Linked DNA regions of Drosophila melanogaster. The protein of the gene in region 3 interacts with the protein of the main gene of each other region in a pairwise test. Each region holds a gene or a part of one and is shown on either strand. Other genes may lie near its edges.

What was found.
Region 1: the proteins of CG18304 (region 3) and dpr17 interact in a two-hybrid assay, tested with the Drosophila melanogaster proteins (one large-scale study listed by BioGRID).
Region 2: the proteins of CG18304 (region 3) and NimB2 interact in a two-hybrid assay, tested with the Drosophila melanogaster proteins (one large-scale study listed by BioGRID).

Annotation. Positions count from the first base shown.
Region 1 is NT_033777.3:12,090,683-12,099,675, reverse strand, and holds the start of dpr17 (defective proboscis extension response 17), read right to left. Parts: upstream 4,801-8,993; 5' UTR 4,376-4,800; intron 4,047-4,375; exon of another isoform or gene 3,628-4,046; 5' UTR 3,000-3,627; coding exon 2,660-2,999; intron 1,591-2,659; exon of another isoform or gene 1,020-1,590; intron 1-1,019.
Region 2 is NT_033779.5:13,962,712-13,970,973, forward strand, and holds NimB2 (nimrod B2), read right to left. Parts: upstream 4,308-8,262; 5' UTR 4,214-4,307; coding exon 3,795-4,213; intron 3,301-3,794; coding exon 2,764-3,300; intron 2,686-2,763; coding exon 2,376-2,685; 3' UTR 2,342-2,375; downstream 1-2,341. Other genes in the region: NimB1 (nimrod B1), read left to right, coding at 837-1,027, 1,188-1,745, 1,824-2,027, 2,083-2,341; NimB3 (nimrod B3), read right to left, coding at 4,776-4,983, 5,040-5,200; NimB4 (nimrod B4), read right to left, coding at 5,632-6,124, 6,186-6,749, 6,908-7,197; NimB5 (nimrod B5), read left to right, coding at 7,848-8,155.
Region 3 is NT_033779.5:6,937,473-6,946,047, reverse strand, and holds the start of CG18304 (uncharacterized protein), read left to right. Parts: upstream 1-3,233; 5' UTR 3,234-3,904; intron 3,905-5,096; 5' UTR 5,097-5,129; coding exon 5,130-5,311; intron 5,312-5,366; coding exon 5,367-5,437; intron 5,438-6,314; coding exon 6,315-6,523; intron 6,524-6,589; coding exon 6,590-6,783; intron 6,784-6,842; coding exon 6,843-7,845; intron 7,846-7,899; coding exon 7,900-8,112; intron 8,113-8,171; coding exon 8,172-8,508; intron 8,509-8,575. Other genes in the region: ihog (interference hedgehog), read left to right, coding at 1-295; Fgop2 (fibroblast growth factor receptor 1 oncogene partner 2), read left to right, coding at 1,052-1,999.

The sequences.
Region 1 (8,993 bases), on a different chromosome or scaffold from region 3:
TCTCTCCGCAAACCCATTTATAATTTATGAAGGTAAGCAAACACTTTTGGCCCTCGCAACGACGACCGCACACACGACACTGCACGACAGGACTGGAGGACATGACATCACGACCCCATATAGCAGCCTTAAAGGATTCTGGCCATTTGGCTAGGTGTAATAGTGAGAAGACGGGGGCGATCAGGAAGGAAAGGTCGGCCCAAGTCAACCTGTAGGCCGCTTTGATTCGAGGCCCAACGACTTTGCAGGCACATTCCCAAAATTAGCAGGGATCCAGGAACTATGTAAGCAAACAGAAAAAAAAACACTGCACAATCCACAGAATCCCACAGAAATTTTCAAAAAATCTGAATGAGGATTTCGAGAGAACAAAAGCCGGCAGGGTAGCAAGACCAACTTTGGCCGCATTATAATTTTGAATGTTTCGGAGCTCGGAGTTTGAGTTGGCTTGCATATGCTTTGTTGGCCCATTCCGCATTATGGCATAACGAGTTGCACTCACAACTTTCCAAAAGCGCATTTTGTTAAGAGTTGTAATAAAGGGACAGAAGGGCAGCTCAGTGGGGAAATCGTATAAGGGATTTAGAAAGGGGTAAGTCCACACTGCTGTAAACGTGTTTATTAAACATTTTTTGGTAAGTTTTCAATTTCGTTAATATTTTTGTGCGGCTGCAAAGCCAAAGGACCAACGTAGAGTTATACGAAGGGTTATAGTTTATTGCTTTATTTTTGCCTCCATTATTGGGCAGTCGACAGAATGAGAAGCTGCTTTTGCTGATGGAAAGCAATGAGGTTAAGGACCTTACGAAACTATTTGCGGAAACGGTGGGCCATTTTAAAACTTTTTCACTTATAAGAGGTGCGGATGTTTGTTTTAAAGTTTAAAAATGGGTATTGTATTTTAAAATTTTTGTGGTAAAAAATGACATATTTTATATAAATCCGCTTTGGACCTAAAAACTGGATTCTTTGGTTTAAAATTTACAAACCGTTTAAGTTTAATATTACTACAAATTTACCTTCTTTGGCAGCTTGTACTTATGTTGGTCGTTTTTCGCTTTTTATATTGACGTTGAACTTCTGTGAGTACCATATTGTGTCCTTCCTTCTAACACTTCGGATTGAACACTGGATTATGGCATCGGAGTATTGTTTTCTGTTTTCTGCTTGACTTCTCTTGATTTACATAATTAAACACCATAGCCTCTTCATCGTCGGAATATGTCAAAACCTCAAAATCGTATTCTTTATCAAGCAACGACGTATCCTGTCGGCATTTTTTGATTCGATCTACAAGTTTTTTTTGGCATTTTCGCATTTTGTTTTTTTTTTTTTCTGATTTCATCAGGTAGAATCGGTGCCCAGTCTTGAGAATATGTCCTTTATTTACGCCAATTCGCAGTGCAACATCTACGCTGCCCTTTATATGCATTTTTGCAACTTTAAGCTTAAAGGCTACTTCTTCTAAGATTTCTCGATAAGTCACTGGGCACTTCTTTTCTTTAAGAACTTCCATAATCAACGCACCATATGAAGCACATGCCATTTTAAAAAAGGGTTTACAAGAAATTTAGATCACTTAACTTTAACAAATTTTGAGCTTATATTCTGTTTAAGGAATAAATACTAATAATGGCATTGAATCACTTGCTTACTTGTGAAAGTTTGGTAGAGTAAAATAAATTTCAAACAAGGCAAGATTGTAATACAAAATGAAAAGCCGATTGGAAATTTAAAAGCATTCATGATCTTAAGTTATCAATTTTTTCAAGTACATATATCTAGCTTGAATAAAAATGACACTATCTATCGATATAATTAGCATATTTCTCAATATTTCATCTTCAAGTGCTTATTACGGGTCAGAATAAATTATATTAACTAGTCACTGTGCACAAGGAAGTTATCTTAATTACGTGGAAAATTCGAATTAAATTATTTATTAAATAGAATTACCAGAAGAACCCCTATATAAGGAATCGCTCCGCAATGCCGCACAACTTTTTGTCATCTTTTATGGGCCATTGTTTTCCCATTTCGCTAGCCCCGTGGCTTCTTCTAATCTAATTTCGGCAAATCAAATGAAACAACGGGAAGCTCAGCCCCCAGTTTCATCCTCCGCAATTTCAAAGAACGACAATTTCCTTGCCTCCACTCCCCCAGCTGATCCAGAACTACTAAAACAATTTGCCAGCAGCTATTTCGCGTCTTGGGATCCGCTTACGAGGACAATTATCCATGTGTGTGTTGCCAAGTGCGCATAAGATTTTTCACCCGGTACCCGAATAAATAAGGAAACGAGGAGTTGGAGATACTTATCCTGTTAATCTGGCAGAACAACAGGAGAACATAATGCACTGAAAGGATGTCGCTGTTTTCCTAGTTTTACGAGGCATGATTTAAGGTTTAAATACAAAAGTGCATTTAGGAAGAAATGTAAAAACTGCATTTTCCTGATTTGATACCTTTGCAAAGAGAGGGATCTGGTTTAACACTAGGGAATATCAAATCCTAAAGTGTATTCCACCCGTTCATAGGACTCCATCCCCAGTTAACTGTGTGTTAGAGTGTGCGACGTGAATGCGTTAAATTAAATCAAAAATGTATGAAAGTCACACGCACACGCAAGGAGTGAGGGAAACCCCCCAGCTGTACTTACGTATCCCAAAGCCGAGAGCTGGAAGGACCAAAAGGACGAAGCTGATGCGTAGCCAAGACGCTAGTGGGGATGTATGGAAAAATCGGCGACACCACGGCGCTCCTACTCCTGCTCGTTCTGCTCGTCCTGCCACTGTCATCTCGGTTGTCAACGTGGCTGGCCTGGTCCTGGTTCTGCTGATTCCGGTTCTTCGACTGGTGCTGCTCCAGCTACTGCTGCTCTTCTGGCTCCAGTCCTGCGTGGCAGTCCCAGTGGCCCAGTTCCTGGCTGCAATGACACTTACAGCGCCTTTTGTGCGCTCATTGTCCGCCTGCCTCCAATTGGGACTCGTTTGCGGCATCGAATCTGGCTTCTCGTGCTCCTTAGGACCAAGACCAGGGCGAGGGCCAGGACCAGGACAGACAGGATCTGCTGATTGCACTGCGCCGTCTTGGCTGGCAAACTTTGTCGCATTCTCTGCTCCGTTCTCGAAATCCCAGTCGAAGTCTCAGATAAATAGGTTTATTGAATTAATACACTTGGGGCTGGCTTGGGTCCTGGCTTGCCTCCATTTGGGTTCTATCTAACCTCTATACTGTTTCATTTTATTTTATTTTATTTCATTTGATTTTATTTCTAGCTTTCGACAAAAAATTGCAATTCTTCTTTATGGGTCGGCCACAAGTTTTTCGATGCGTTTTCTCAAGCGATTTTCGTGCAAACCCATTGTTGGCTTACTCGGTCTCTGCACTTGGTTTTGCACAATTTTTGTGTTGCTTGATTTATATATTTATTTAAGTGTTTTCGCCTTTGTTGAGTGGCAAACTTTTATTGGCGATGCAGTGGCACCAGCATAGACAAATAAACTGGCATCGGAACTCGACTTTATTCCATGGTAATCCAATTTGTTTATTTAGCTTTTTGGTCTCTTCCAAAACTTATTTTGTTGAACAGCACAAATCCGTTTAATCCCTAATAACTACATTTACCTAAAATGTTGTTTGCATACGATTTTATTGTGATTGTAAAAGTGGTTTTGGGATACCATATAATTGAGTATTAAAAGCACGTGAAGAAAAATACGTATTTAAAACAAGAATAAAATATAACCTTACCATTAAAAATGGTATTTCTTTAAAAACTAATCTGAACAGAGTTAACACTTCTGCATGGTAACAAAACTTTTGAAAACATATTTCTACATCTTGAAGTTTTACTTCAACAGCTCAATCAATGGAAAAGTCAAGTGCTCGAACTTGCCAAGAAATATAAATCAACTTATTTCCACTTAAACTTTCATAATCGTTTTGCAATTAATTACATAGAATTTCCTTTTTCTTGGTTCCCGGCTCACTTTCTTAAAAGTTAATAACTTGCACGGCTTTCATGCAGAACTATCACACAATGTTCTCGATGACTAATGGCCAAAACTTTTCGCACAAAAAAAAACCTTAAAAACTTCGACCATTTATAGTGTTTAACAAGTTTCACATTGCCTTTCGATGGGCTTTCTTTGAGTTTTAGGTCGGTGGCAAAAGGTAACAATGGCCATATGGCCGGGCTCTAAACGAATTGTGTGCAGCTTGGGTGGCTTATATTTAATGATTTAACACGTGAGAAAACATTTACACTTCAGTAACAATTTATCGCATAATCCGACTTGAGAATATTTTTTATTTCGCCCTCCTTGGCATTATTCTTGCTGCCCAAAATGATGCACAATAATCCCTTTTTTACGTTACGCGTCCTTGGAGAAATCCTCTGTTTTCTTCGGTCCTGTTTTTGTTCCTCGGCTTCGCAATTCAGCGCGGCATTCTAATATCCATTTGCATAAGGCGGGAGCAAACAAATTTTAAAAGTGATTTCGGCAAAAGACACTCGACAGGCGGCACTGCAGGACACGGGACACAGGACACCCAAGAGGACATCAAGTGGTTTAACTTTGTCTTAATTCTTCTTTTCTTTCTTTGCCACTTTCCATTAACTTTTTTCTTCGTTTCTGTTGTCACATTTTGTTTTCCTAACTCCCGCCTCTTCAGCACAAGTCCCTTTCAGACATAAACGCGTAAAATTGACTTCTGGTTGCGGTTTCGTTTGCGGTCTGGGTTTCCTTCCACCATCCGAGTCACGTCCGCGCGAACCGGATTCAAATTTTCGACTGAGTCGCGTTCGAGCGACGCCATCCCACTTCCCATCGAGTTCTTAACATTCCGAGGCGGATAGTGCCGATTCATAGCCATTCCGTCGAGCGTTCCACATCGGATTCTCCTCTGTTTCATGTGGCATACCGGTTCGTTTCCAACTTCCCCAGCTTTGTGCCGTTCACATCCCTCTGGTTGCACTGAATTTTCGGAATCGAACCGTCGGGTTATTTGCCGGCTGTTTGTTCGCGCCTGCGCGCTAATACTGCTTTGGCAACAGAAGATTGAAGATTTATTTTTTATTCCGCGGATGCCATTTGTAGATGACCAACAAAACACTTGTTTCCGCCGGACAAATGCCTATTTTAGTCGCACATGAATATCAATTGGTTCGCTCGACGCCACCAAAAATCGACCATGATGTAAAATATGAATTGACGCCTCTTAAAAATGGTATAAAGATTGATACATGGAATATATAAATCTCGTAGCTATTCAATTTTAAAATGAAAGAGTTTAAGAGTTAGCAGTTTGTAACCGACCTAAAATATAATATATATTTTAAGCAGTTAATTTCTATTCCCTCTTAAACCGAGTGTTAGCTTTATTTTGACATTAATCTAAGCTGAAATATACTCATCCGTTCTTCAGCACTTTTCTCTAAGGTTAAAGTCACGAGGCAACCAACAAATAATTGGAGTCGTGCAAATGGTGACCCCGTAAATCACGGTGGTGACCGCGTTGGCATTCGGTCACTAAATTAGCTCGGTGTCTGTTGAAAAATCATCGCCTTTAGTGGCCGGAATTTACTGCCCCGGCGAAGACATATCTGTGGTCTCGGGTATTGTGCGACAATATGCCATTATGTAGAATGGAGTGGGCCAATATGCGCGGCTTGATGAACGACGGCCTAGGACTAAGTATAATCTCGTGTGCTTTGTTGTCAAAGAGCAAGTAACAAATAAATATTATTGAACTTTTAAGTCCCCAGGGGGCGGTGGCCTACAGGCAATTGACGCCCCAGTGCGATAACAGAGCCAGCGGGCAGATAGGGTGCTGAATATCCTCACACAGGACCAACATAAATTCCTGCTCAGTTCAATTTATTGTGTATTGACACAGCTTACGGAGAAACAAATAAAAATGTTTTCGAAAGTGCGGGTGCGCTTGGTGCCAAAGTCCATCCCCCCATCCCCCCCTGCGCTGCGTAAAGAACTCCTCCCAAAGGCTCCAGGAATGCGGACGAGTTCCCCTCGGCTACTTTTGCCGCCCTTCCATTGGTCCTTGAAGTCAGGGACCTCGTTGGCATCCATTGTTATTACCTCTTTGTTGTGTTTACACGCCATTTGTGGTATTTCACTCACTTCCACTTCCATGTGGCTCACCTCGTCTCGCCCGCAGCAAAAGATCCTGCGGCGGAAGGTGTCGGGCGGGATGCGGGCCAAAGGCTAAGGGGCTGGCTGGCTGTCGTAAAAGTATATTTGAAATGCAAATGCCGGCGGGCCTTAAAATGCTCAACTTCTGGCTCACAAAATAATCAAAATATACTTTATGTCGCCTTTGAGCCAGTGAAAACAGTGAACAGTTGCGCCAGTTATCGAAGCCAAAAGCCAGGCAACAAAAACCAAAAGCTGCTAAAAGCCCATCAATCGAGTTGTGAAATAAAACAAAAGATCAAAATTGTAGTATGCAGTAAAGCGACTGCATAGTACTCTTAAAAATATATAATATTACACAAGCGACTTCTGGCACATATAATTTTCCATTTCTATCCATTAAGAAACTGTAAATCTTATTTAAAACATAGATTCTAGCAACAATTGCTTTTTTATAACAAAAAAAATATTTTGGGCCCTTAACAAGGCTAAATTTATCAAAAACTTTAAATAAATATTAATTATTCAGTACATTTTTGATGGTCCGTCGGAATTGCTCTTCCCAAAGACCTCAAACAGAAAGTTGATGGCTTTGTATTAGCTAAACATTGCTCAGCTGTTAATTTTAGCACTTTTTATAAAGGTCGTAAATAAATTAATATTTTTTGTTGGAGGCAATCGCATCTGGGCTAAATTTAAGCAAACATCATTTCTCTTGGGACAGGAACTTGAACTACAAAAATTGGTTTGCTCATTTTGGGGAGTGACTCTCGAGTCGCACGCCTGTCAATATATTTCAATATCTACATTATGATTGCTTTTCTCAATTTTTTCAGATTTCTTCAGACTTCAATTTTCCCTGCGAATGCATATAAATATATATTTTCCTTTGTCCATATCCTTGTTCGTTTTGGAAGGGTGCCCAACTCTGCTCTCTCCGAATATGCGAATTTTCAATGACATTCTAGACAAATTTCTGATAGACGGTACAAGGCAACATACACGCATACACATATGAGAAAATCTGGTTTGATTTTATCCTGCGAGTACAACGGAAAATGCATCTACGATATGAAATATTTGTGAAGGAAAACTATTGAAGAGCCAAGGAGATGGTCTGGAAAATACCAATATGCATAATGTTGTGACAATTTATTAGCAATTTATGCACTTAGGCCAAACAAGTTATACTCCTAGAGTGTCCTATTAACAAGACCCAAACGATAATGCAAATTATAATTTTGTTATTATTGAATCGGATGTGACAGCCTGAGGCTCGCAAGTGTTAATTCTGTTAGAAAATTTCATGTAAATTTAGGTTTCAAAGAATTGAATGACGAACAGCAATTGAAGAAAAATAAAACCAATATTCGGAAATAGATAAACATTAACTGCAACCTAGAGAACCAAAGTTCAGTCTGCACCTGCGGTTTGAGCCAGTTGAGCTGTGTTTATTGTTAAAGGGAACCAGCAAAAGTTCGAGAATCAATGGGGTTTGAGTGCAACCAGCAGCTCACAATCTACCGCACTTGATTTCAGTGTTCAGGCAATCGAGCCAAACGCACTTTAAGCCTCACGCTTTTCATTTCAAATGCCATAGAGAAAGGAAACCCATAGAAATCGAAACGCAAAGTAAATTGCACTTAATCGAATACTATGTAAATGAACTGCAGATGGAATCGAGTGCAAGCCGAATAGTCGAACGAGTGATACCTTGTAACAGTAACATTTTTTTTGTAACAGTAACATTTTTTTATTCCTCAACAATACTCAAAATCCACATTTCTTTCTGTGAGCAATTAGTTTTTTCCCTGATTTCAGCCAAATTTTAGTTGACTAAGTTAAAAATGCTAGATAAAACGTGTGCGTTGGTTTTCGGGTTCATTAAGGTTGATTGTAACCGCTGTAACCCACATTTAGCACCAACAACATTCGCGCTACTAACACTCTTTGTTGCATTTTTTTTTTTCCTATTCAGGCGGTCACCCTTTGCCCTGCGTGTCGTTATCCTTTTGTGGTGAATCAGGATTAACGGTAAATATAATTACTGCACCCTTTATCCTGCGACGGGAAAAGGTGAAGGAGACACTGGCGAAAGCGACGTGACGTTAATGACATTGTTGGTTGGGGTCGCAAACCCCCACTGGATGCGAACCCTTGGCTAATTTGTTCTATGTTCGACTTGCGTCTAATTAATGAAGATTGTCTCGCATAATCGTAACGCTTTATTTTATATTAATTGTTGTGGGCTTGCCAGACCTCTTAAGTGGTAAGCTGGGCATTTTTCTTACACAACACATCCTAAATGGGAATTTTAAAATACTTAGTCCCTCGTGCTTGGTAATTGGTCCTTTAATTGTATATGAAAAATTATTTTTTGGTAAGTAATTAGCTTTGCACCCGTAGGTAACGCAGTTAAGAAATTTAAAGTTAAGTATCTGGATGTTTATTAATATTTAAACATTACTTAAACCATATTTACAGCTATTACTATTTAATTAAGAGATTCTGTTAAAAAAAAAAAAAAGTGTAAAGTATTCATTACAGCGTTAAACTGATCGTAATATATTTACCCGACTTTAATCATCGGTGTTTAATGCTCGTCACTCATGGGAAATTCCCCCGTGAGCTTGTTAGTCCCATGCTAAATTATAGGTTTACCTGGAGCGATAGTTCAATTAGCTGTAGCTTTTCCAGCTTTAGCTTTTTCCCAAGACCCCCAGTAGTTGGCAACGCGGGCTGGCAACACCAATTAACGTTTATCAGTTGGTAAGAAGAGTGCAAAGCTCTCTTCTCAAACGAGCGAAAGAGAAGCAATGGCTATATAGCTAGCTATAG
Region 2 (8,262 bases), 7.0 Mb from region 3:
AACCACACTTATTTTTATAACATACTTTAGATCAGTAATAAATTTATGTACAGAAGCCAAATGTTAAGTGAGCATACATTTTGATTACATCATTATTTTAAGCTGCCCACGAATTATTATAACATTATATTATGGAAGATATGATATGAACTGGGAAAAATAACATTAATTAAACATAAAAAAAAAAATTAATTCATAAATCATATAAGAATTGGATTGGCGATTATCAAACTAATAGAGTTTCACCTAATTTCTATTACTTTTTAAAGGTGATTTGCATGGTTAAAGGTTTCTGCATTATTTAAGGGTAGTCTTTGATTAGATTTAACACTTTTATATCCATAAAAACCTATGTGTTAGACTTTAAGTTTCTTTAAAGTCTACGATTGTGGCGTGTGTAGTTTCCGCATAGTTGTAACGTTTTAAATTTTTAAAAGTATGTTTGCTGTAGCAACAGTTTTAAAAATAAAAAATGTTATGACTTCAAAAAATATATAAAACTAATTATATTTATAGTTAAAAATAAAAAACAGCTATAATAACATTACTATATTATAAAACATATTATATTTATGCAAAAGCTGATTCATAAAATAATTATTAGAATAAAGCCATGTAGCCACATTTTGTAAGTTAAAGACTATTATTTAATAAAATCGTCTAATAAAACAATATGTGCTGGATTGAAAAGGGCAACTTAATGTTTTCATTTTTCTCTGAATGTTTTCGTTTCGAGACTGAGAGTTGATGCTGATAAGGTCTTTTGAGTAGATTCAAACCCCTGGACTGCCTGTTCATTCGCTACTCGACATCGAAGCTCAGAACACCAAGACGGGATGCACTGTAGTGGACCGTTGGCCGGGCTTACCGCTCTACTGACGCTGGTGGCATTTCCTGTCCAGATTAAGACCGATTCCACGGTTTCCACGGAGCTCTACGGCGACATAGAGAATACGGAGTACGGCGATTTTGAGTCACTAAGTCAAACTCGCGAGCGTCAGCAACATCTGTGCCATCGCGAGGTGCCGTGAGTAAAAGGAAGTTTTAAAAAATATGGAAAATAAAACAAAGCAGCTTAATGCCAAACAAACGTTCATTAATAAACAAATATATATATATTTATTTGAGCGCATGCTGGGAGAAATGATTACAAGCGCCCATTGATTAATTCGATTTGATGATTACAGTTCTGTGTTTTTCCAAACCGAGCGGGATTCCCCGGTGCGTGGTAATGGATCCACGATCTACTTCCATCGCATAGAGGTCTGTTGTGCAGGCTACCGTCGCGATCCGTATGCCAATGAATGTGTGCCGGACTGCTCCGCATCTTCGCCAGACAACTGCCGTAATGGCTTCTGTCGCAGTCCTGGCGTTTGCGAGTGCTTCGCAGAGTTTGTCCGTAACGAACATGGTGCCTGTATTCACACCTGTCCGATTGCCTGTCAGCATGGCAGATGTTATTTAAATGGCACCTGTGTCTGCCATCAGAACTTTGTCCTGGATCAGGAGACCCGGCAGTTCTGCCGGCCGAAGTGTTCGCAGTCATGTGGCACCCATGAGGAGTGTGTGGCGCCCGGCCAGTGCGACTGCTCACCCGGCTACCGGAGAACGCCGGACTTGGGATGCCAACCGGTTTGTGCTCCGGACTGCGGATTTGGCAAGTGCGTGGCGCCCAACCAGTGCGAGTGCTTCGCCGGGTTCATTAAACGGCCCAATTGGAATGTATGCGAAGCTGAGTGCTACCTGTAAGAGTATCGATATATCTTTATCTAAAGTATCTTAAATTTGTCCGCCAATTTAAGCCATTTGCTTATCGCTTCCAGGAACTGCGAGAATGGGCTCTGTGAGTCGCGGTACAAGTGTCACTGCCGCGAAGGATATCGCTACGACGTGAACACCACCAGCTGTTTGCCGGAGTGCAGCGACAACTGTGGCCAAGGAAATGGGGTGTGCATTGCGCCCGGAGTGTGCCGCTGCTTCCGAGGATACGAGGTCCACGGTGCCGAGTGTCGGCCAAAGTGTGAGAGGTCTGTTACCCGGAGCAAAAGCTGTGTTCACCTTCATGAAGTTCCGCTTATTCAGCAGATTCTGCGGCAAATACGGGCGTTGTGTGGCTCCCGAAATCTGCGGCTGTGGTGAGGGTCAACAGCATTGCCGGAACGGAAGCTGTGACGATATCGAGCACTGCAGTTGCCCATCGGGGGAAACCCACTTCATCGATCGCTGTTTGAAGGCGGACCGCCTCAGTCAGCATCTCAACACTAGCGAAAAGAGAAAGCACTTCAATCGCCAACTTGCTTATGAGTTTAATGCCCTGATAGGGCGTCTATTTAATTTCTGATCCAAGACGAAACAATAAAGTGCGAAAGTCTAAGTTAGACGGCCTGGCAGGTCTGGCGTCCCTTGATGCCGCTCTTGATGAATCCCGGCCTGCAGATGCAGAAGTTTGGGGCACTGCAGTAACCGTTCTGGCATCCCTGCGGGCAGTGTGGCTGGCAGATGTTCCGCTGGTGCTCGTCCCTCACATATCCGGTCTTGCAGTCGCACTGGTTGTTGCCCACACAGACGCCGTTCAAGCACGGAAGGTCACACTTCGGCAGACACTCGGCCGACTTCCGGTCCCACTCGAAACCGGAAGCGCACTCACAGATGTCCGGTCCAATGCAGCGTCCGTTCTTGCAGGGTCTGAAATAGGGAAATAATTAAATTATCTAAACTATACATCGCAAGCAGATTTCATTGTTTTTTAAAGGCCACACTTACATGGAGCAAATGGGTTCGCAGCGTCCTTGGAGCTTTAGGTAGCCTGCGTTGCAGTTGCAGTGTCCTGGAGCCGTGCACTTGCCATTCTCGCAACTGTCGCACACTGGTTCGCAGGATCCATCGGCGGCCAGGCGGTATCCGTCGAGGCAGGCGCACTTGTTGGGCGCCACACAGCGTCCAAAGGAGCAGCCGGGCTTGCATTCCGGCTGGCAGTACTTACGAGTCTCCGGCTCAAGCGAGTATCCCTCGCGGCACTTGCACTCATTCCGCTCGTCGCACACTCCGTTGCCGCAGCCCAGGGGACAGGTGGAGATGCACTTGCCCTCGGCGGTGCGAACGTGGCCGGGTATGCAGACACAGGTATTCGGAGCAGTGCATATTCCATTCCGGCAGTCATCCGCGCAGATCGGCTCACAGCGGCGGTAGATGTGCGGATTTCGCTCATAGCCATCGCAGCAGACTTGGATGCGACTCATGTCCGGAGTGGTGCCATTGCCAACGAACTGATCCCGCGAATTGCGGAGCAGTGACGCGGTTCTGGATATAAACAAGGAAAACATTAGGTTTACTTAAACAACTTAAAATCATGAATGCAATGACATATATTTTTCCTAGGGAAACTAATAAAACAGATAATCAACATGTCTAAATAATACCTTAGTAAAGATGTGTGTCAAAATTGAAAAATAATTTTGTCCTTTAAAGTTTTAAACTACATATTGTCCAAGAGAATGCAAATGAAACTAGTCAATTCAACTAAATTTAAAAACTTTTCGCTTATCTACTGACTTTCCGCTCGTTGCATATTAAATTCATTCACATTATTAGCTTGGCACACATATACTCGTGAAATCAAGGCGCATTTTAATTATCAGGCCAGCGGAGGAAGTTGAGGTCGTTAGTTCACTATTTTTATGGCTTGCCTTGTTTTCGAATGCCTTCCGAATTGGGCGATAGCTTTAAGTGGAATTATAAAAGTGTTTTCCTCTCGATTGTTAGTATTTTTTGTCCGAAATTAACCCATCACTTACGGAACTTCCTTGTAGCACACACCACTGGCCATGGCAGATCTGGTTTTGTTGATGAACAGGGCCGTTTCATCCAGGACCTGGACACGATGAGCGGGCGGAGTCACCGGCTGCACGTAGTGTCCATAAAGGGGCGGCAATGTGACCGGTTGAAAGACCTCGGCGCGCACAAATCCAGCGGATCCCTGTTCCACATGGTTCTGCTGGTTCCAGGCGTAGTTGCTCTGGTTTTGAGTGCTCCAACCGTAGCTGCTCTGGTTGTAGCTCCTCCATCCCGACTCACTGCTATTGCCGGCAAGCTGCAGGTTTCCCGATGGCGGCTGCCGTGTCTTGATGCCAGCCGTCTTGAATTGTCCCTGACCCAGGGAACAGATGGCCAGCAGAACGCCCAGAGTCACCAGCTGGCACGATGATGACCTCATGGTGATGTCACTTGATTACGGATTTCGTACGTATGGAAATTGATTATGCGCCCACGTCCACGTCCGCTGGCGACTGTAGTTGCACATCGACTAATCGGCTCCCGATGCGAAGCTCCGGATCTCTGAGCCGCCATTCGCCTCCGGCAACCTCTTGTCCCCCTTCTAATCAGCACCTCGCCAATGTACCCATCAATGTGGCAAACGGAGCGAAGGTTTGCTCTCAGTAGCTTCGGGCAAAGCAAATCGATCATTGCCATAAATTGTGAGTCGTAAACAAAACTCATTGCTTTTGGGTAATTCCAAGAAAAGTTTGCGTACAACGATGACTTCAGGTATAGAGATTATTTCTTGATGAAATATCAGATTTAAAGGCACAGAACATAAAAATGATGAACCTTTAAAACTTATGAAGGTTTTTTCAAAAAAAAAATTTAACGTTTCTATGTAATCATGAATGGTCGTAAAAAACAGGTTAATAATATTTCAAATAGTAGAAGTATTGATCAAATAATGATAAAGTAAGCAACTCAAAAAATATTGTAATTGATATTATTTATTTTTGTTATTCCAAGACAAAACGACACCTTTTGTTACTCCGATAGTAACCCGGAGCACACTCGCACTCCTCGGGCGCCAGGCACAATCCATTGGAGCAGTCCTCCGAGCAAATGGGCTCGCACTTCAGGTTCTGGCTTGTTCCCTTATTCACATAACCATCGCAGCAGTAGGAGAACTGACGATTTCTGGAGTTGGGATTGATGGTTTCCACGCTGGGAGTGGGAATTGATCTTGAAATTCGGTCAGGCGTGCGGAATGGTTTACCTACGTGAGCGTCCTGTAACAGATGCCGGATCCCCTCTCGGCCAGAGCCTCTTTTCGCCACTGCGTAACAGGATCCACCGACCAGAATTGTGCGGCAGTGCGCGTGGGCAGCTCGATCCCCAGACCGCAGATAAGGAGTCCAATCAGCGTGGATGTCAAGTGCATTTCGCTCGGATTCAGCTGAAGGCGAGGTCGTATCAAAATGCGAGCGCAATGCTCGCCAGTGTCTCGGAGCTACTAAATTGTCGTCTGTGTCAAGCGCGGCATTTAAGTGTACGGAGATAGAAATGTTCTATATTCCTAGGAAGATAATTATGTGTTCAGTACCCGGTATTCGTGGGGTATGTTGACTATGCAGAAAATAAGTGATATACCAAATAATAAATACCTATTCAAATGAAACAACTTTCGAGAGGGTACCAAATCTTCGACGTACGTTTACAATTTAAGCTAGACTTGCTTCAAAAAAGCGAAATCCCAAGAGATGAAGCCACAAGATATTTCAGACACCCCTGATAAGAACACAACGTCTTGGGAAATGCATGAATATTTATTAGAGACTGCTCAGTGATGCTGGAAAAGTGAGAGCTCCGAACTCACAACCACCACATATCGCTGAGTGTGGTCAAGTTGAAGTGCCTGCCCAGCAGAAGATTGAATTCCTGGATGAGCGATGCGTTCACCTTGACGGGATTCATAGAGGCGTATGTGGTGACCGTGTCCGGCGACATGCAGCGATCGATGAATCGCGTCATGCCCACCTGGCAGCGGCATCTTCCCATGGCGTTGCACAATCCGTACTCGCAACGCTGGTAGGTGCGTTCCGGACCCGGGACTATGGCGCATCCGCACACATTCGGTGCGATGCATTTGCCGTAAAAACCACATCCACCCACGCAGACCGCCTCGCATCGCTCCCGATTCCGGACGTAGCCCTTGAAGCAGCGGCAGTTGCCCGGCGAGATGCACACCCCATTATCGCAGTTGTCCCCGCAATCCGGCAGACAGGTCGTCGTATTCTTATCGTATCGATATCCGTTCTGACACACGCACGTCGTTTTGTTTGCACAGAAGCCATTCTCGCAGGTCCTGAAAGAAATTTATTAAATTATTAAATGTAAAAGGAGAGGCGTCTAGTTCTAACACTCACATATAGCAATCGCCTTCGCAGGTGATGCCGTTCTTGCGTTTTTGGAATCCGGGGAAGCACTCGCATTCGTTGGGCCGCACGCAGTGACCGTATCCGCAGTCCGGAATACAAATCGGTTGGCATCCCAGGGCGGCGGACTCCCTCAGTCCTCGGGTATATCCCTCGGCGCAGGAGCACTTGCCCGGCTCCAAGCAGACCTCGTTGTGGCCACAGGTGGCGTTGCACTGCGGCTGGCAGAATTTGCGCGATCCGTCCAGCTCGTATCCCTTATCGCACTGGCAGGTGCCGTTCAAGTAACAGCGACCATGCGGACAGCCCAACGGACAGGTGGGCACACAATTGTTGCGGTAGTTGAGCACAAAGTCCGTGAAGCACACGCATTTGCCGCCCGCCACACAGAAGCCGTTCTCCTGGCACCGCTCACCGCAATCCGGAACGCACTGGCTCCAGTCATATTCATAGCGGCGCCAGCCCTTGCAACAAACCTCGATCACGTTCATGTAGGGATTGGTGGAGCTGTTGCCCACAATCTTCACCTCCTTGTCGTACTGAAAGAACACGGCCCTGGAGATTGGATTGGTGTATACAATGCATGTGTGCTTTTGAGATATATCAGTAAAATTAAAAGTTATAAACCATACGAGAACTTGTGCTGGTTATGGGCAAGGTCTAAAAGAGCCCAAGGATTTAATGGGCTTAGATTGTCACCGGCACACACTTACGGCACTTCCTGTCGGCACTTGTCCGGATGTTCCCCTCTCCGGGGCAGCGACAAACCGTTGGGTATTATATAGGGTTTCCGTGTGGTGGTCGAGGACGAGAGGCGTCGCTGTAGAGCCTCGTGCTCACGCAGCAGTTCCCGCTGGCGTTGCTCCGCGCGCAGGCGCAGCTGCTCGTCCTTTTGCTGCTGCAGCTGTTGCTCGTGAAGTTGCAGCTCCAGGCCGTGCAGCACGCAGAGGAACAGGACCAGGAGCACCGAGTGGAGGCACAGAGATCGCAGTATTGTTGACATCTCAGTGCTGGGCGCGGATTCCTTTGTGGCGCGCTACCGAAACGCTCAAGTCGCTATTGTTTACTGCTCCGGAGACGACGCAGTTGGGCCAGCCTCTAATCACAGCCGGAGGCAATGATAAGAGGGCTTCAGCGCTTAATTCGGATCTGGAGGGGGAGATCCAGGGCTCGCAATGCCAATGTATGTCAAGTAAGAACGAGCTAAAGATCGTCTTAAGTTTTATGTTCTTTCATTACGAATTGTAATTTCCCGGATAAATAGTGATGGGATGCAAATAAAATATTTCAGTAACCAAAAGTATCTTTTGGGTATGTAAATTAGCATATTCAAATATATTTTATTTTATTTTATTTATATTTAAATATGCTTTGGGCTCGTTCAAAATAAAATTAGAAAAAATATTTTAGAAAATTATCCAACTGAGGTATAAACAAGTCGCAACACTTAAAAATTTCGACTTACATGTATTCATAATAATAAACTCTCATAAACAAACTGAACCAAATTCCTCTCATCTTAGCCTATGCATCGAATATAGCTGCTTTTCTGATAAGACAAAAAAAATTAATTCTGTTTCAGTGGCGAAAATTAGTACAATTCTAGCTGGCAAATTGTGAACACCTAGAAACTTGAAATAAGGAGTGCTCAAGATGTGGTTGCGAGACTTGCGCATTCGTCTAAGTTTTTTCCACCTGATGGTGTGTCTGCCCAGTATTTACACAAATGTGCCAAGCTATTCGGATCGGTACAACAGAAGGCCTGTGTCCCAGGATCCAGGAATGGGAACCTATGGCCGCGGGTACATGGAAAACCGGCAGTTGTCCTATAATCGACCTGGACCAGCCAACTTCCAAGATCCCAGAAATGTGGAGTTGCAGCCGAAACGACGAGAGTATCTCATTCGATCACATGAAACGCAATCCGATAGGGGGCAACACAAATGCCGCATTTGGGTGCCGTAAGTATGTCAGATACACAGAAAACAACGTTGAAGTATATATACATTAACAAAATTTTTTTATTTTAACAATGTATATATATATATGTATGTTTTGATAATCAGAA
Region 3 (8,575 bases):
GAAGAATGACACAGACCAGGATGCGCCCTATTATCAGCGGCCGTCGAGCTATGACTACGATCCCACGCTGCGCAGGATGTCCTCCTCCTCGCTGCGTCGCTCACAACGCACGCTGGAACGTGCTGGCGGCAGCAATGGCTCCAACAACGGCAACAACAACAATCTAAATCAATCCGCAGAGGCGGGTTCCATCGAAAATCCCGGCAAGCCGGGTCGTGTACTCATGAAACGCCCCCGTCTGTCCAGTCGCTCCGAGAACCTCTCCTCCGGCAGCCTCAACAGCGTTGGCGTGTAATCGCAATCTCGTGATCTTTAGTCTGTGCATCCCTACGCCCGATGTACCATGCTATTCCTCTACCTCTGTTTTATCTACCACTTTGAATGACAAAACCTTTGCTGTTTGTACTTAAATAGGTACTTAAATAGACATAACTAGATTTATGTATGCATGATCGTTTAAGAACATAGCATTATGTCCATTCTACGCTAAGTCTTCCATTTTTCGCGATAAGATCAAAATCTGTACTGATAGCTTCTTAATGACCTATACAAAAATGACAATAAAGCTTGTAGCTTCACCTTTTAACCTTAAAAGAGTTTTTTAACATAAACATAAAGGATTTAGCCAAAAAAATGACATCTCAAGCTAAAAGTTAAAAAACAAAATTATAATTTAAATCTTTGGTATATTTGCGGTATATCAAGTGTTGAAACAGTATTTTTTCGCATTCAATGAGTGGCGTTAGGGATTTGTGCAACATCCGATGGCGTTTGGGATTTAATAAGCTGTCAGCCAATAATTGGGTCGTCGTCAAAATTTCTATTAAAATCGTTTCTATTCCTACATATTTTGGCCGGAAAATCAAATGAAGCTGTTACGCTAGGGACGAAGCTGCACCTTACCCGCACCGAACGTAAGACACTGCTCGTAGGCCCCAGAAAGTGCACAAATTTAAGCGGTTCCCTTTGTTTTCGCAGTGCCAGCAGCAGAGGGCCTGGCCCCCGAAAACAATACAAATCCAAAAATCGCAACTGGACTGAATTGGGCAGGATGTCGAACCTATCCGTGGGCCAGATTATAATGGATGCGCAGCGCATGGCCAGTCGGGTGAAGGACCTGGACGCCCTGGGCACGGCGCTGCTCGAGGAGGCGGAGAACAACAATCGGCTGGTGGAGAGCCTTCGCCAGTATCAGGACGACATTGAATCACTCAACCGCATTTCGAACAACAAGACCAACGCGGACATGGTGAATCGCATTCAGCAGCAAAACATCAACAGCTCGGAGATACTCAAAGAGAATCGCGAGCTAAAGATCTTCATTGAGGACTACGAGCGTGCCATGGAGCTGATGATGCAAAAGTATCGCGAGCACACCGTCTCCAAGGTCCTGGATAGCAAGTTTAGCTTTAAGGAGCTGTACAACGAACGCATGTGGCAGGTGATCCGGGAGCAGCGCGAGAAGATCAACGAAATGGCAGCAGTGATGCAGCTAGCTGCAAGTGTAGATGACGGTGTCGTGCAGCGAGAGCTGCAGACCATATCCCAGCTGCGTCTGGAGAACGAAACGCTGCGCGAGCTGCTGCAAATCTCCAAGCAGTACGGCTCCTCGCAGCGACCGATTCGTGAGAGCGACCACCTGCTGGAGGAGAAGGCTGTGCAAACGGACAGTACGGCGGACGACTCCGCCGACGATCTGTCCATATCGGGCGCCTCGGTGGAAAACATGAACAACAACTCGGTTATCCAGATGTACAGCAGTCCGGAGCAACCGGCTAAAGTCGCCGGCACCACGAACTCATTTAACACTGCACCAGTGCATAGTCAAAGTGAAACACAAGCACCAAGTGTGACATTGGAGACGGCGCCGCCGGGGGAAGAGCCGCTGGCGAATGATAACAATAACGGACCTGCAGTCAACACAACCAGTGCACCGCCGCCAGCGACGACGTCTAACGAATCTGTCGAGGATCAGGCGACAGTAGCGCCCGCAACATGATAGGTGCTGCTGTGCAACGTTGTTGATTCGTTTGGTCTTCATTTGAATCGTATTTACTCACCCACTCACAAAACAGGCCGCGCACGAAGAGGGCCCACATAACCTGCATTAGCTCTTAGCGATTGATAATCTCTAAGTAATTTATACATAATACGAATTTCAACATATTGTCCATACGCATTGAGAACAATGAAGTTTATTATTTAAAACGAGGTAAACACACTCACACCCACACAAATGTAATGTACAATGTACCCTGTCGATTTTATGGTTTGCTAAATAAATTCCAATACAAATCGGGGAATAACCAAAGGAATGAGCATATTTAATTTAACATACAAATGTATTTCAGTAGTGTATTTAAATAAGATGTAACTTTGCTTTAGATTGCTACTCCGTAAGCTAACTAATTCTTAAGTTATTTCCCAAAAGATGTTACGAGTAGAATCCCATCTATTATGCGCCCCTCCCATGAATTTGAATATTTTTGTTAGAAGGCTTTTTAAATTTGGCCATTCTAAATCCCAGCCAAACAGAGAAGCGGTTAAATAATTCATTGGATATGACTCATTGCTTATCGAGTAAGGCTGATCAGAACTTGATATACACACATACTTGTGTGGAGTTTAAATATGAATAAAGTATAGCCACTAAAATTAACATTTGCCACAATGGTTATCAATGGTTATCGAGCAGAAGATTTATGATATAGTCATGTTAATTTTCAAAAAGTCAACTTATTACACAATGAACCAAGTTGAACAGAATCTGCCATGAGAAAAAAAAACAGCAGTAATAACTATAATTTTAGAAGCTTAAGATTCCAAAGGCAAAATATTGGGGTTTAAAAAATTTTAAATAATTTCATTATTGTATTGTTTAAGTTTAATTTGGTTATTAATCAATATGGAAAATTAGGAAAACCAATTTTTTGAATAGATATTATTGAAGTAATTATTATTATTATTAGTTACAGTGTTTTTTTTCTTTAATTCTATCAAATACATTTTTGTAATTTTGATAAATATGGAACCTGAAGTGTAAAAGTAATATTATATGGATACCCGTAAAGATTTATGGCTGAAACTTTCAATTGGCTTGGACTTGAATATTTTTGAATAATTTTCGAATCGCTCTCATCGATTCTCTGCGCCAAAATATCGGTTCTCTTGAGGAAAACACTTTTCTCGCACGACTGGTAGGTAGTTGAAGCTTTCAGAAATAATTTAAATTTAGTTTCTCGTCGATTTTCAACGCGTTCGCAGCCGAAAAAAAAGTGCCAAGGAACTGCGCCCGGTTCGCATGGCAGCCATCTATATAAGTATTTCGAGTGCTCGGGCAATCGACGGTTATATTAAAGCTATATAAATATATAGGCACATACGTGCTTGGCCTTTGTACATGAATGTGAATCGGGTGAAAAATTGAAAACTGCCTGGATCGCATGGTTGATATAAAGATATATCCCTCTAATAATAAGCTATTGATCCAAATCTAACGATATTTCCGGAGAGTCTTGCATTTGAAAATCGTCTGGGTAGATTTATGGGAAGTGCGCTGCCATTTAGCAAGAAGAAAACTATGCTATTTATAAAACACAGCCAATTTCTGTGGCCGTAAATGTTTTGTATAAAGTGAATATTCCAAAATTAAATCAACCAAGCAGCAACCGAGTGTTTGTGTGTGTGTGATCGAAAGTGAACGAAAGGCTTTGGGGATTCCAATCCCTGTAAGAATCTACATATGTACACCAATGCTCCAAACTGCTGTATAATCCGTGTCGAAACGCACTGAATCCCGACGGTTACGCAACCATCAACATCCACATCCACTTCCACATCCAAGAGGCTGGCCCCATTCCCCGTCGTCCAGCCGCAAATTATTCTAAATGCGGAAGTATTTCGTGTAAGTCCACTGCGTTCTAAATTAAGTCACACATTTTGCAAGTGCCAGCGCCGACGAAAAACAGAGCGCCTTAGATGAAAATAGGTTAAAACGCTGGTAATTATTTATAAACGCACTAGGGATTTGCAATCATCGCAGCAGCAGAGCGCACAGAGAAAGGAGTGGTGAAAGCTCCGCGCTTTCTCTTCGCCTTTCTCTTCGCATCGCGCTCTTTCGTTTGAGTTTCGCCATTTTCGCCAAAAGAACAAAAAACATGCGCAAGCGGCGGAAAATCGCCTGCGCAACTAGCTTCCACCTGTGCCAGCTTATCTCGCTCTCTTTCTACTCATAGATCGCTCTAAAAATACTCAAATAGATGGATACATATTTGTTATTGTTTATATTTACCATTTCCATTCGATTGTTTATGCCTGACTGAAGTGACAGATATGAAGGATGATTTGAAATTGAATTAGAAAAGTCAAAGTTTAAGGATGTGAAGCTTTTGTTGTTAGGAGTTTTTTCTTCAATCATAGTACTAGTAACTAGTAAGTTACTTATCATTTTTTAAGTATTCTTAGCAATGGTTACATTTAAATCCAGATTTTAAACATTTTTATAATTATAGTTAAAGTTAATATTTGTATATGTGTATCAATGCGAATATAAGAATGCATATTATCACCTCTTTTTAAAAATAGAATAAATTCCAAGATATACATACATATGTATGTTAAATCGACTTGCTGATTTCCTTTTTTTAGTAAGTTAATTTTTAAATCAGTTTCATTTTTTGTTTCTCAGAGTTAATATATCTGTCTTCCAATGAGGGATAGTTAATTAATCGAAGGCATTGATCTACATCTGCACTTCCAACTCACGTTGACAATAGCCATCAAACCAGGCAGCTATTCAATTTAGAACCAATGGCCAAGTGAATGATAACGAAATGTAAATGTTTAAGTATTTGATGAACGTGTACAAAATTCTTTTGTCGATTTGGCTTAGTGCCAGAAATTCCACAGACTTGCGCAGTCAATTGGGTATTGGGATCGTGCGAAAAGTACATAGAAATAGCAAATGTAAATTTAAAAGATTTTAAACAAAAAGAAAAAAATAAATAAATAAAACCAGTAGTGAGATGTTACGCATACCGTGTTAATTATAAAATAAAGCGTTGGCTTGAGAGGACTTCACACTTCAACTCTTGCAGAAAAAGAAAAGCTGATAAGTTGTACGAGAACAGATGCATCATCTGTACCCATCGCTGAAAGGCGACCAGTTGTGCCCACTCGGCTTTCATCCCCAGACTCGGTATCCCACGCGATGTAAGCGCTGCTTCCGGGATTACAAGGAGCATGGAGCCCGCAGAGCCGGCGAAGAGGTGGCCGCCTCCTCGCCCAATCTCTCCGATGCCCAGAGTTCTCGGTAAGATCTTCCCGGGATTTCCACCTTTGAACATACATAATACTTTATTTTATAGACCCTCTTCGCGGACGTGGACGTCAACTCAAAATCTTACCAGTGCAAACGCAACTAATGGCAATGATATAGGTATGAATGCCACTCGCAACGGTTAAGAAATCTATAAACTTTATGATTAAAATAAAGACGATCACTTTTGTTTATTGTTAATCAGCGCTAGAAGCTAACTTAACTTTGTAGCTGAGTGTGTTCTCGCAAAAAATCATAGTAATGGTATCGAGAACGTGGAATAAATGGAATATTTATATGCATTATAAGCTTAATCTATTTAATAGTATTTGTTAAGTTGTTGATTATAATGTTTGTGTAGAATTCAAATAGTTTCAGTACCCTTGTCAATCGGTTATTGTTTTAAGTATTAAAATTGTTTATGTTTAATACATGTATTAATTAAAAAAACGATTTCTCAATGCAACTAGTAAACTAGAAAAATTTGTCCAAACTCTTAATTTCACTGTTTTATACTTTCATAAACCTGCTAGAAACATAACAATATATGTAGTTTTTGAAATAATTTGGTTCTTAAAGTATTTTTACCATTGAGAAATTGTTCCTCTGACATTTAGTTATAGTAAGTTGCTTAAAAAATTGTTACGAATCTTAATCAATGTGTTTGTCTACTTATCTCTCTCACTCTCACTCTGCGTGTGCACAAAAAACCACCGCCAACTGTGTCATCTCTATTGCTCTGTGTCTGTCTCTGTCTCGCTCTCTCTTACTTTCTCTCAACACTAATCTCTGCATTAAATGAACCGTTAATGTTAACTACTACCATGCCACGCGTGATCTGTACTGCGCTCCCACGCTCTCTCTCTCGCTCGTTCTGTGGCATCCGTTTGTCTCACTCTCGCACCCACGGCTCCGAGTGGAATCGAACGCTAATTGCAAACTGCAACTCGCAACTTGCACCTGCATGCAACACACCTGACGCCCTTACTGAGCCTAGTTGTCCACTTCAATGTAGAGCTGAGGAAGCGTCCGCAGTCATGGGCCTCCACGCCGGATATCGACGAGCCGGACAATGTGGCTCGCCGCCCGCCGGCTACGGCATCCACCAGTCGAGCAGCATCCTCCGCCGAGGATCAGGATGTGGCTGTCACTGTAAAGCTGCCGGTTCCACCGCGACGCCATACCACCGCCTTGGACATCAAGGAGGTAAGATTGCATGGTGACCGGCTATAGAAGATGTCTTTTACGCTCTGCGTGATTTGTATTTCCTAGGTGGAACACGCCATTACACCGCCAACCCGTGTCACATCCTCACCCAGTAAAACTTCAAGTATTCCAGATGAGTTAGTCATCCTATCGACAGACAGTCTAGCAGAGCGTGTCCGTAAAATGAATCTTCTCAAGAAGCAGCGCAGTCTCAACTCCCGGGAAAACAGTCGGGAGCGATCAGTTCCGCGGAGGGAAGAGTAAGCAATTGCAATCTTCAGAGATAAGCAAGATAATAATGTTAAATTTTATCTATTAGAGAAAGCGAGTCTACAGCTACACCCACACCAGTGGTACCCGATCGTCCGGAGCGCAGCAAGTCGGGTACTTCCCTAAACCAATTGGCCCAAGCCGAACAGAAGCGAGCTGCCCTACCGCCAAAGAAAGTGGCGGTGGCTTCCACCACGACGGCGTCCAGCAGTAACAGCAGCAGCACCTCCCTGAAAACCTCAAATTCCACATCCGCCAGCAATGAGGTGAAGGTCGTCACGTCTACGTCCAGTTCTTCGACGAGTTCGAGCTCGGTTCGTCGCAAGGAGGCGGATTCAGTGGCTAGCAAAGAAATCAAAAGACAAACCGTTCCCGCTGCATCGATATCCCACTCCAACAGCACCAGTAGCACCGCCAGCACTGCATCCAAGAGCCAGGACACAAATGGCATGCAAGAGCAAATGAAGGCGCTAAAACTGGAGCTGGAAACGATGAAGACACGGGCGGAAAAAGCGGAGCGGGAAAAGAGTGATATTCTTCTGCGACGTCTGGCCTCCATGGATACCGCCTCGAATCGGACAGCAGCCTCGGAAGCACTTAATCTCCAGCAGAAGCTGAACGAAATGAAGGAGCAGCTGGATCGGGTAACGGAGGACAAACGCAAACTTAACTTGCGGATGAAGGAGCTGGAGAACAAGGGTAGCGAGTCCGAGCTGCGGCGAAAGCTACAGGCCGCCGAGCAGATCTGCGAGGAGCTCATGGAGGAGAACCAAAGCGCCAAGAAGGAGATTCTCAACCTGCAGGCAGAGATGGACGAGGTGCAGGACACCTTCCGCGACGACGAGGTCAAGGCCAAGACCAGTCTGCAGAAGGATCTCGAGAAGGCCACCAAAAACTGTCGCATTCTCAGCTTCAAGTTGAAGAAGAGTGATCGCAAGATCGAAACCCTGGAGCAGGAACGCCAAAGTTCCTTCAATGCTGAGCTTTCCAATAAGATCAAGAAACTGGAGGAGGAGCTGCGTTTCTCCAATGAGCTAACCCGAAAGTTGCAGGTTAATCAGCTAAGTTGATTTCCAAAAGTATTTACTAATAAATAAACTTCCTAGGCGGAAGCCGAGGAGCTACGCAATCCTGGCAAGAAGAAGGCACCCATGCTGGGTGTCCTAGGCAAGTCGACGTCGGCGGATGCCAAATTCACCCGAGAGTCCTTGACGCGTGGTGGCTCCCAAGAAGATCCGCAGCACTTGCAACGCGAGCTGCAGGACTCCATTGAGCGGGAGACAGACCTAAAGGACCAACTAAAATTCGCGGAAGAAGAGGTAATGCCCATTGACGCACACAACCCACTCGACTAATCACTTGACCATTTTACGCAAAGCTTCAGCGACTTAGGGATCGCGAGCGAAAGCGTGTTAGATTCAGTTGTGGTACTCAAACCGAGGTGCCACTCGAGGTGGTGGCCTTTCCCCGAGGCACACAGACAGTGGCAACGGTTCAGAGCGATATGTCTACCAGTGTGGAGAACTTGGTGACCTCCAATGTGGCTGTCACGCAAACCGATTTCGAAGTGCCCGATAGAAATGTTTCAATCGAAAGAGAAACAATGTCGTCTCCATTTGCGGGGCTCTTTCCACCATCGTCATCGTCCAGAGTGGGACAGTCCGGTTCGCTGCTCTTTCCCAGCGCCATTTCACATGTCCTTTTGAGTGGAGCAGGTACCAAGAACCTCAGCCAAAAGGATTCGATCCGATACAATGCCTTTTTTTTTCGTGTAGTAACCAT